Linked DNA regions of Neurospora crassa OR74A. The main gene of each other region encodes a partner of the protein of the gene in region 2 in a complex. Links are inferred from orthologs where the notes say so. Each region holds a gene or a part of one and is shown on either strand. Other genes may lie near its edges. The genes, in order: NCU03055 and NCU08024.

Evidence for each region.
Region 1: NCU08024 (region 2) and NCU03055 share a complex: the UniProt entries of both Saccharomyces cerevisiae proteins name them as parts of the M-Pol II complex. The link is inferred for Neurospora crassa OR74A from reciprocal best matches to the Saccharomyces cerevisiae genes ANP1 and MNN10.

What each region holds. Positions count from the first base shown.
Region 1 is NC_026501.1:4,355,946-4,360,484, reverse strand, and holds the start of NCU03055 (alpha-1,6-mannosyltransferase subunit), read right to left. Parts: upstream 3,103-4,539; 5' UTR 2,071-3,102; intron 1,908-2,070; 5' UTR 1,891-1,907; coding exon 1,473-1,890; intron 1,413-1,472; coding exon 1,124-1,412; intron 1,069-1,123; coding exon 405-1,068; 3' UTR 1-404. UniProt on the Saccharomyces cerevisiae protein: Required for polarized growth and efficient budding. The M-Pol II complex possesses alpha-1,6-mannosyltransferase activity and is probably involved in the elongation of the mannan backbone of N-linked glycans on cell wall and periplasmic proteins.
Region 2 is NC_026504.1:3,953,112-3,957,601, forward strand, and holds NCU08024 (mannan polymerase II complex ANP1 subunit), read right to left. Parts: upstream 3,052-4,490; 5' UTR 2,721-3,051; coding exon 2,611-2,720; intron 2,526-2,610; coding exon 1,855-2,525; intron 1,792-1,854; coding exon 1,472-1,791; intron 1,416-1,471; coding exon 1,320-1,415; intron 1,265-1,319; coding exon 1,016-1,264; 3' UTR 608-1,015; downstream 1-607. UniProt on the Saccharomyces cerevisiae protein: Involved in the organization of the secretory pathway. Required to maintain a functional Golgi apparatus.

The DNA.
Region 1 (4,539 bases), on a different chromosome or scaffold from region 2:
TTCAAATTGCCCACCGGCTAGTAGGACTCAGGTGAGTGACTCGAAGTGCAATGGGAACAGAATCGAGAAGAGAAAAGGGCCCCGCCATTTCCGATCGGGGAACCAAACATTATCATGAATATTTTCTTTTTCCAGCAATGAAATAGAGAACCTCCTTTCTCAAACATCCCTCATTTTGATGTAATAGGCGTATACAAAATTGGGGTATACAGAATTATATAAAGACAACATGGAAAGTAACTTGATTATAGACGTAGTGTCGCCATTTGTCGGCCAAACCGCCTCTAGTTGCTGGCGGCGTACCGTGGAGGGCTCAACACAACATTAACTTCGAGCGATCGAATAGAAACGTCGTGAGTATCGTGTCGTTCGCATCAGGGTTTCAAGACTGTAGGTGATGTGTTTTAGAACTTGACCTTCTTTCCGGTCAACTTGAACCAGATCCAGCAAAGGAGGTCCTCCTTGAATCGTTCCCACAACGACCGGTTGAGGTGATAGCTCAGCTCGCGGAAGTTGTACATCTCACCCCAGCAGTCTCGGCCCCATTCACATCCGGCCATGTTGACCAGGAAATCCCGATCCTTCTGGTCGTAATGTATGCGCGGATCAGTGCCCTTTTCAGAGCAGGCGCCTGTAGGGAAACTGTTGATCATGCGCTGCGGAAGGAAGGCCGTACTCTTCCGAATCCAAGGTTGCGCAGTGTAAAGCTGCTCCAAGGCATCTTGCTCCTTGTGTTCCCACTCCATGTGCTTCTGTTCGTATGCCACAGGATCCCACCAAACATCAAGTAAATGATCCGTCCAAGTGCCGCGGCGCATGAAGAAGGAACCCAAATTGAATCCAGAGCAATCCTGCGACAACATGAGGTGAATCGAGTTCGGGTTGCCATCTCCAATCGGACTTTTCGAGAGTTCGTCGAGGTAAGGGTCGGCCGGGGGGTGAGAGATGTTCAACGGATTGTACTCATTGATGTCGCGGTAGGTGACATCCTCGATGTGGTCGAAAATATGGTCCTGCAGAGACTTCGATGGCTCCATAATGAAGGTGTTGAGGTCAAGCCACCAAACCCTGGGAGAAAATCAGCCACGGATCACATCCAGGAAGCGACAGAGTGGGAACTTACCATTCTGCCTTGGGATACTTTCGCAGAGTGGAGCGGATGAAATCAACCTTTTCCCAGCTCTCGCGCCATTCATGCGCATAGCGTTTCTTTGTGCTCATGTCGACAATCTCGAGATCGTATCCCCACTTGGCAACGTATTTCTTCTTGTTGCGAATCGAGTCCCTCTCGATTGCCCATTCCCTGGCGCCCTTCCACTCCATGACACCACCGCCAACGTTGGCAGCTAGAATGATGACAAACTTTTGACCCCCACCAAGCCATGATGTTCTTCGGTAGTAGTAAACCAGAGCTTTCCAGGGTGTCAGGTCACTGTATGATCGATCCAAGGTGGGGGGTTGCAAAGACTCACGAGTGCTGTAAAAGATGATGTATCCGAGCAGGAACAAGAGGGCAAAGGCTAGCAGCATCTTGGTCCTCCTGCTCATCCTCCCCGTGATGCCTCGTATCCTGCCGAGTCGTGGCATGTTCCATCGACCTTGGCCAATCTTCTCTCTCTCGGCGCCATGGGTGTTGTCGGCCTTGAATCGGGGCAGCGAACTTGATATCCGACGCATGTGGCGGCTAAAGAAGCCCTGGTTCTGTGTCGAGAAGGACTGGTATGCGGCGCCGCCCATGTTTTTTTGCCTTTCCCACATGACGGGCGTCCCGTTGGATCCGGCGTAGGCCTTGGTAGGACTCGATCGACCGCTCGGGCTGAGGTTGTTTGTAAGGCCTGGACTTGCCCAGCCACCACCGGGAACGGGAGAAGGACTGCGGGACAGCGACATTGCAGTGATCGGGGTGCCTAGAGCAGACGGAAGGACCAAGCGACAGTCAGTAACACGCGGATGACATCGGACAAGTGCCCAGCGGCCAGACGGGTGAAAGTGAGACGGCGGCCGTGAGACCGCTGGTGGCAGTCACGGGCGTGGGACAGGGCAAAAAGACAACAGGGGAAGAACACGTACCCGGGATGGGCGAGAGGCTGTTGGGGTCGTAGTTGCCGTGATGGGGCTCAACCCCAAGGAGGAGGCCCGAGGGAGATCGGCGATTGTCCAATCGGAGTTCGCTGGGAGGGTTAACGGCGGACGACCGTCTTCGGTGATGGGAGCGGGCCGGAGGGTCGCTGTAGGAGGACGAGGTCCCGTTGCCGTTGGGGGAAAGGGTCGCCAGCTTTGCGGATTTGCGACTTCACCAGGTGGCACTATGGGCCCTCTGGTGATATCGCGCAGGGGTGTAGGGGGGTAGCTGGGCTTCCTTGCCGTGGAGGCTCAAGGGCCCAAGCCAGAGGCTGACGGACGGACTGACAAAGTGACGGCTGAATCCACGTTGCAACGGAGGGCCGCCTGACTCGAGATACGGTACGTCGGTACGTAGCGGTTGGTGGTTACGGTGGGCTGGCTGGCCTTGGTGGCTGCGCTGCGTACGGTCGGATGGGTGTCCGTGGTAGTTAGGCTCTACCCAAAGAAGGCAGACTGCGTGTACTGTCGAATACTGAATGTGCTCGTGCGGTACAACCGAGAGGATCTGGTCGTCCAAGAAGGGGATGTGGACGGATGGGGATGGGACAAAGGGGACCAAGGACCCGGTGTGTCTTGGAGACGTCCGAGTTTCGGGTTGGGGTGCAGGGCGCGCAGGCTGCTGTTGGAGGAAGAGACCCGGCGCCTGTGGTGGCTCTGGATGGTAGGCGGGTGCTGCAGAAGCGGCACCTGGACACGATATGCCAACCTTGAACCCAGCCGGGCAGCTGTTGCTTGAAGATGCCCGGATTCCCTTCGGCTGTATGCCGGGCAGATGTCGTTCAGTGGATCGCTCGCCGCGCTCGATTACCTAACGGTTGCTTGGATTATGCGTCGGTGTCTTGGTGGACGGGAAGAAGAGGTAACAAACGAGATCTTCAGAGACAACTCAACGCAGATTGTTTCACTAGGAGAGTGAATCTCTTGACCGTTTCAGCTATGGAAAAATTCCAGTGACCGTGGGCTAAAAATCACTTTCAGATGAAGAACAGCCCTGCCCGTCCACTAAATGGCCAGCGTGGACAAGCGTGTTTAAACCTTCCATCCTCCCCAAATTCATCGCGACCCCCCGGCCGTCCCCAGATATTCTAGGGGCTTTCTCCGTCAACAACATTTTTTTTCTCTGTTTTAGCGGCCAACTTTTCAACAGCTACCCACGCCAAGATTGCCCCGACACATGCAGGGCACCACCCAGGGCCTGTTCACTGCGACCCCTGTCTATTTCTTGGAGTCTAGGTACACAGTACACTACGGTCCAGGGTGGTTGCGACTAATTGCGACACCTGGACGGTGATGGCATGCAATTTCACCTAGAGCGGGAATCCTTAACACGTTCTGATAACGGCTCGCGGAAGGCCCAATCCTTTTCCTGAATGCCTTCACCGTCTTTAGACTTAAATTTTTCAAAGCATGGAAAGGGGGAGCAGACGCTAATGTTGAACAGGGATGTCGGGCGTGGACTTGACCTGCTTTCGTTGGGTGCCTTGCAGCCTTCACGGTACCGGCGGGCAGTACAAGCGCATTGGGCATTGGACCCCTTCAACTCTCGGCTTTTTTTTTTTTTTCTTCCTCGACAATCCTGGGGCTGTACTGTAGGTAGTGTACCTGACGGCTCTGCAACAGAACGCAGGAGCTAATGACAACGTTCCAATCCAACTCATCAAGCGCTTGGGGGCAGCAACTTGGGGAATTTGAGGGAGACCTTCAACTTCTCCCGAAACCGTTTTGCTGACTGATTTTTTTTTTCTTTCAAAATCCCCCTCTCAGCCCGGCCAAGGGCACTAGTTACAGAAAAATTACCGGATGTGGGACAAAGTACAAACATGTTTTGGCTTGCAGTCTTCGGCCGATTGCGCAACAGAAAGCTAATTGACCAACCCCCCCTGCTTGAGATGGTTATCTCTTGGCTCTGATCCGGCGCTACGGAAGACTGACGCGGAGTTGGTTCGCTGGGCGAACTGGGCGATTCTTTTGCCCCTTGTCTAAGCCAGAGCCGAATAATGTTGCGGGTGATGTGGTGATGTTCGCAATTTAAAGGGGGTCAAATCTCCTTGTCTCCCCTCCGTTGTTTCACCATTCTAGCACCCGCTCAAACCTGGTCCTCAACGGAGATAGAGGTCATGGGGGTCTGCACTTAATGAACGACTATGGGGTACCCCACGGCACGCCATCTCGATCCCTACCTAAGATGATGCTAATGACGATACATTTTCTGGATGATAGGTGGTAACCTATGGCAGAAATGGCATCTCGACCTCCAGATGTCAACTCATATCGAGGATGGCTACGGTACCCATGAACCTTTAATGGTTCACTGTGGTGGCGTGTAGCAGAACATCGCTGGTAACCTACCATCGGCTACTAAACTTTTAGCATTATCAACGGAGATGGCAGACCAACTAGACGTACTCTCGTAGG
Region 2 (4,490 bases):
TGTCGTGGTCAAGTTAACAGCCAGAGTGGGAAGGGGGGGCTACCTTGGTGTGACAGGTGGACGGTGGCCAAGAACTAAGGTACCTCTAGCGCAGGTAGTAACAAATGTCCTTTGGAGATCCAGTACTATGTACACCTACCTATCAGTGGCCGCCGCGGCTGACAACTAATACTACGCCAAGTTACCTACCTATTATACCTCTGTGTACACTAGACTAGTCTGATGTATAGAAGGGATGTACCTCGCCAACGGCAGTGCTCTTGTGACAACACGGAGGGTTTTGAGTCTTGCTCCTGTCCTTTTTTGTTTTTCGTTTTTTTCTCTTCAAGAACAGATATCGCTAATCACAAACTTGTATGCATGTGCTTACCTATGCAAATTTTAGGGGGAGCACATTTGGAGGTCGACGTACCTCCCGAGACGCAGTCTGATGTCAAAGGCACCGGGCAGCCGGCGTGTCTCCATTCGCGGCCTGGGCCCGAAGCCAAATAGCAACTACCACCGGGTAGCCAATCGAGAGACATCCGGCCGCTACGCTCAGACAACAGGATGAAGCGACCAGAGAGGCGTCAGTATTGTGCACTCAACCCATTTGTGGTCGCTGTAGCAGACTGCAAAGCAAAAAAGACATTTCCCGGAACGCCTCTGCTATGATTTTTTTTGAACTCGTTGGCCGCGAAACGCTTCTAGTATACATGATCTTAGATTACCCTCCATAAGATTTTGTCTTTCCGGTCCGTTCCTGACATGAGGTGAATGCGGTGTGAACCGTCGCCAATTACATATCCCTGATATCTGACCCTCCCTCTCCAACTGCCCATTGTACATAATAGGTAGATGTATAAGCGGGCGGCTTCACAAGTGCCTCCCACCCATTTTTCTTTGGTATGCGTCCACTTGGCGAAACACAACGTTAAACCAGAGATGAGGATGCAGAAATATAGCGAAAGAGGCAGTATTAAAAAGATAGAAGAAAATATAGAAAAAAAAAACCGAGTGGACACTCGAGCACAGCTCACTGAGTGCCCTCCTTCTTCTCCTCCTTGGGAGCAGCATTGGCTGGTCCGTCAGCCGGTCCGCCTTGTTGTCCTGCTGCTGGTTGCTCTTCCGCCTTCTTGTTCTCCTGCATGGCGAGGTTTTGTATTTCGTTCTTGTCCTTCTCCCATTGGCCAGTGGCGTCGCCAAAAGACTCCTTCATCTTCTGCTCCTTCATCGCTTTCTCCTTTTCCTCCTTCTCGCGAGCGAGTCTCTCCTGCTCCATTTGCTGCCGACTGTTAGGGACCTGTCAAACTTGCATAACCAGATGCGTGATTGCTTACCTCCATGTGCTTAATATCGTCTACACTAGGCTCGTACAAATGCCAGATAGTATAATGAGGAAGGCCAACAACTGAGAAGCCCATCCTTCTCGACATCTGTTACCATAGCGGTTAGACGGATCCAAAGACGCGGGAAGGCCTGACGAGCTTACCTTTCCAAAAGCTTCTGTCTCGGCATGTTTTTCGAAGCTGAACGCCGGGAAGTGGACGCCGTAACGGAAAACCTTGGCCTTTGCCAGAATACTCACTCCACCAACGCCATCGATCTCCATTTCCATGTCGGGATCGCCATAGGGGTCCCGGAGATATGCGAGATGGGGACGCCAGGTAGCATATTCTGCGTATCCCTCCACGATAACTGCATCTTCGTCGAGAGTATCCGCGAGTGCGAGGGCGGTTTCGGACTCGGCCCAGGAGTTAAGGTCGTAGGGCTGTTCTCCGCCCAGCCAGTCAGGTAGCGGACGCCAAACATCTAAAGTCCGGTTAGCATTTCCAGTTATCCTTTCAATATCAGCTAAGGGTTCAGGAGGCTTACTTGGCACAATCACATCCTTGTTGTGGCGCATCAGATCTTCCAAGATCGTGGTAGGCGCCGTCTCCACGTCGACATCACGCCAGTAGACCCACGAATGATACGGCCGAAGGGCGGCGCTAAGGAGCCAATTTCTAGCTTGGGCCATGAGCTTTCTTCTGCTCGCCTGCGCGGCGAAACCGTGGCGGCTTTCCACATCCTGATTAACTTTTTGTCCAAAGTCTTTCTCGATGATGGAGATTTCGCCAAAGTGCTTGGACGGGTCGGTGCTAGCTTGAATAGCCGTAAGCTCGCGTTCAAGAACCGCCAAGGTGTTGTCTTTCGAGTCCGAAACAAGGAAAGCGAGATCGATCAGATGGTGAGGATACGTCAGGTTGAGGAGGTGACCGAAGAACATGGGCATATGCACTTCGGCATCGCGCAGCGGCACGCAGATCAAAATTCGCTCCTCTCTCTCCCATCCTTTCGCGGTGCCCTGCACGTTAGACAGGTCGTAGTATCGCACCGTCTCGAGTTGGAAATCTTCAGAACCGGAGCCAAGCCAGGAGAAAGACCCCGAATCGCCGGGCCAAACGAACAGCCCAAAGAGAAGTAATGATACCAGCGCTATTGCCAATCGCAGGAATAGTCCCTTCCGTCTTCGAAATGGTGGTGCCGCGCCTCGAGGTTGGAACCTGTGGAATGATAGGAGGCCGCTCCCGTCAGCTTCCAACGTTCGTTTCGTTCGCCTGGTGATTCAGGGGGCGGGGGGCACTTTACCTGTGAGGAGAAATCTCAAAGGTGTTTCCTCGCGGGTACCCATTGGAATATCCGCTCGCATGGTGTCGAGGGACCGCCTTGGACCCGGAGGAAGATGCGTACGGCAGCATTGGGCTGTTTGGTGATAGATGGTCGCTGCAGGGGCGGCCAATATTATCGAGCACCTCAACCCCCCTTTGCGCACACGCAGGGTACCTGAGTCCTGCGAACCGGAAATGCTAACAGATGCTGCAGACTGGGCGGTCTCTCGCTGGATGTTCTCGACGCACGCGCTGCCGAAACTGTGTCGAAATGATAGAGAAGGGACCAGGCCGGTTCAGGATCAATGCATCGCGGTCAGAGAGAAGTTTGGGCGGAAGATCAAGACGATCGCGTTCCTGTAGCACCGAGTCGTTTGATAAAAAGCTGAGGTGTTCGCACCGGGCTGTGGGCAGCTTGACGGATCGATACACGTACTAAGTACCAGTCCAGATAAGATTGGCGGGTTGGGATGGATTTCTTTACCAATGGCGTCGCAAAGTGGCCCGGCCGTTCGACGGGGTCCTGCCAATTGTAGCGCATTTTGCACCCACCCACAAATGACCCCAGACTTGACGCCTTGGTTTCAGGGGTTCTAGTGCAGTGTACAGGATTTAAAGTCGCCAAGGACAAGGCTCCAGAATTGACGGCAAAGTCGACCTGAAACAGTGGCAATGCAAGTACCGTCGAGTCTGTGCCGTAGTTATCATCTGTGTGCAATACAGATGGGTACATCAGGGTGTGTCTTCAATTTATTTGATGTTCAACCTCGAGACACAGATGATTTGAAGGGAAACCGGGCTTACGTCGCGGCAAGTGTCCGGTCATTCGTTCTACTGGGTTTGGACTTCTCCTGCACATCATCAAGGGCAATATCTTGGGTCTGATTGGAGATAATCAACTATTTTGCAACTCTTGTTTTCATTGTTCTATCCTTGCTGATATCTTGAAGCCCTATGTAAATGTCAAGGACAGGCACACCGTCGATCCTCAACTACATCCAATTTTACTGGGGTCATTGAGTTGTCGAGTCATGAACACAAACCTTACCTCGTCAAAGATGCGTTGCAACAAAACGTATGAAACGTTCACGCCATCAACTACTGACCGGTCAGTTCAAGGTCATACGCGAATCGGCATCGAGCAGAAGGCGAAGACGACACAGATCAGACAAGCCGTTTTAACTCAGCCCTACAAAGCCGGCCCAAGCCTCCCACGCCCCAAAACGGTGCGCAGGAGACTCGGACAACGGAAGCCAAATGACACCCCGAAGGGAGACACCACAACTAGTCCTCACGCCCCGAAAGACGCTCCAGTGCGGATGGATGGCTCGGCCCGTACATATCGTTGAATGGATAGACTGTTGTCATCATTGTGCATGGGACAAAGGAAAAAAAAAAAAGGCAAAGTACCTACCAGATGGGCATGTCGACTCTCCCACTAGACGCAAGATCGTTTTCAGATCCTATATAACTTGAAGTTTGTTAGCCAACTTGCTCGCAGCATGTGTGGTGAGGGCTGTCGTTGCAAGAAAGAGTTGGGGTGATTGCCATATCAGAAGGTTTTGGTATAATTGGTTATCGCTCATTATTATTCAGAAGCAGAACTGAAAATATTTTGTTTCATCATGGACAATCGGGTGGGTGATGATGTCAGGTGGGGGAAAGAAAACAGAAAGGAAAACAATGTGATGCTTACCTAGTGGGTAGAGACTGAGAAAACGGAGTGGAACAGCAACGGTGACAATAACAACTTTGTCTGTACTATTGATTGTCAGTCAACGGTTCCTCCAAATGAGTTGCAAGTGAAGGATGTGTTGAAGGAGTAGTCAGATGGTAGTGCATGTTTGTTCGATCGCTCAG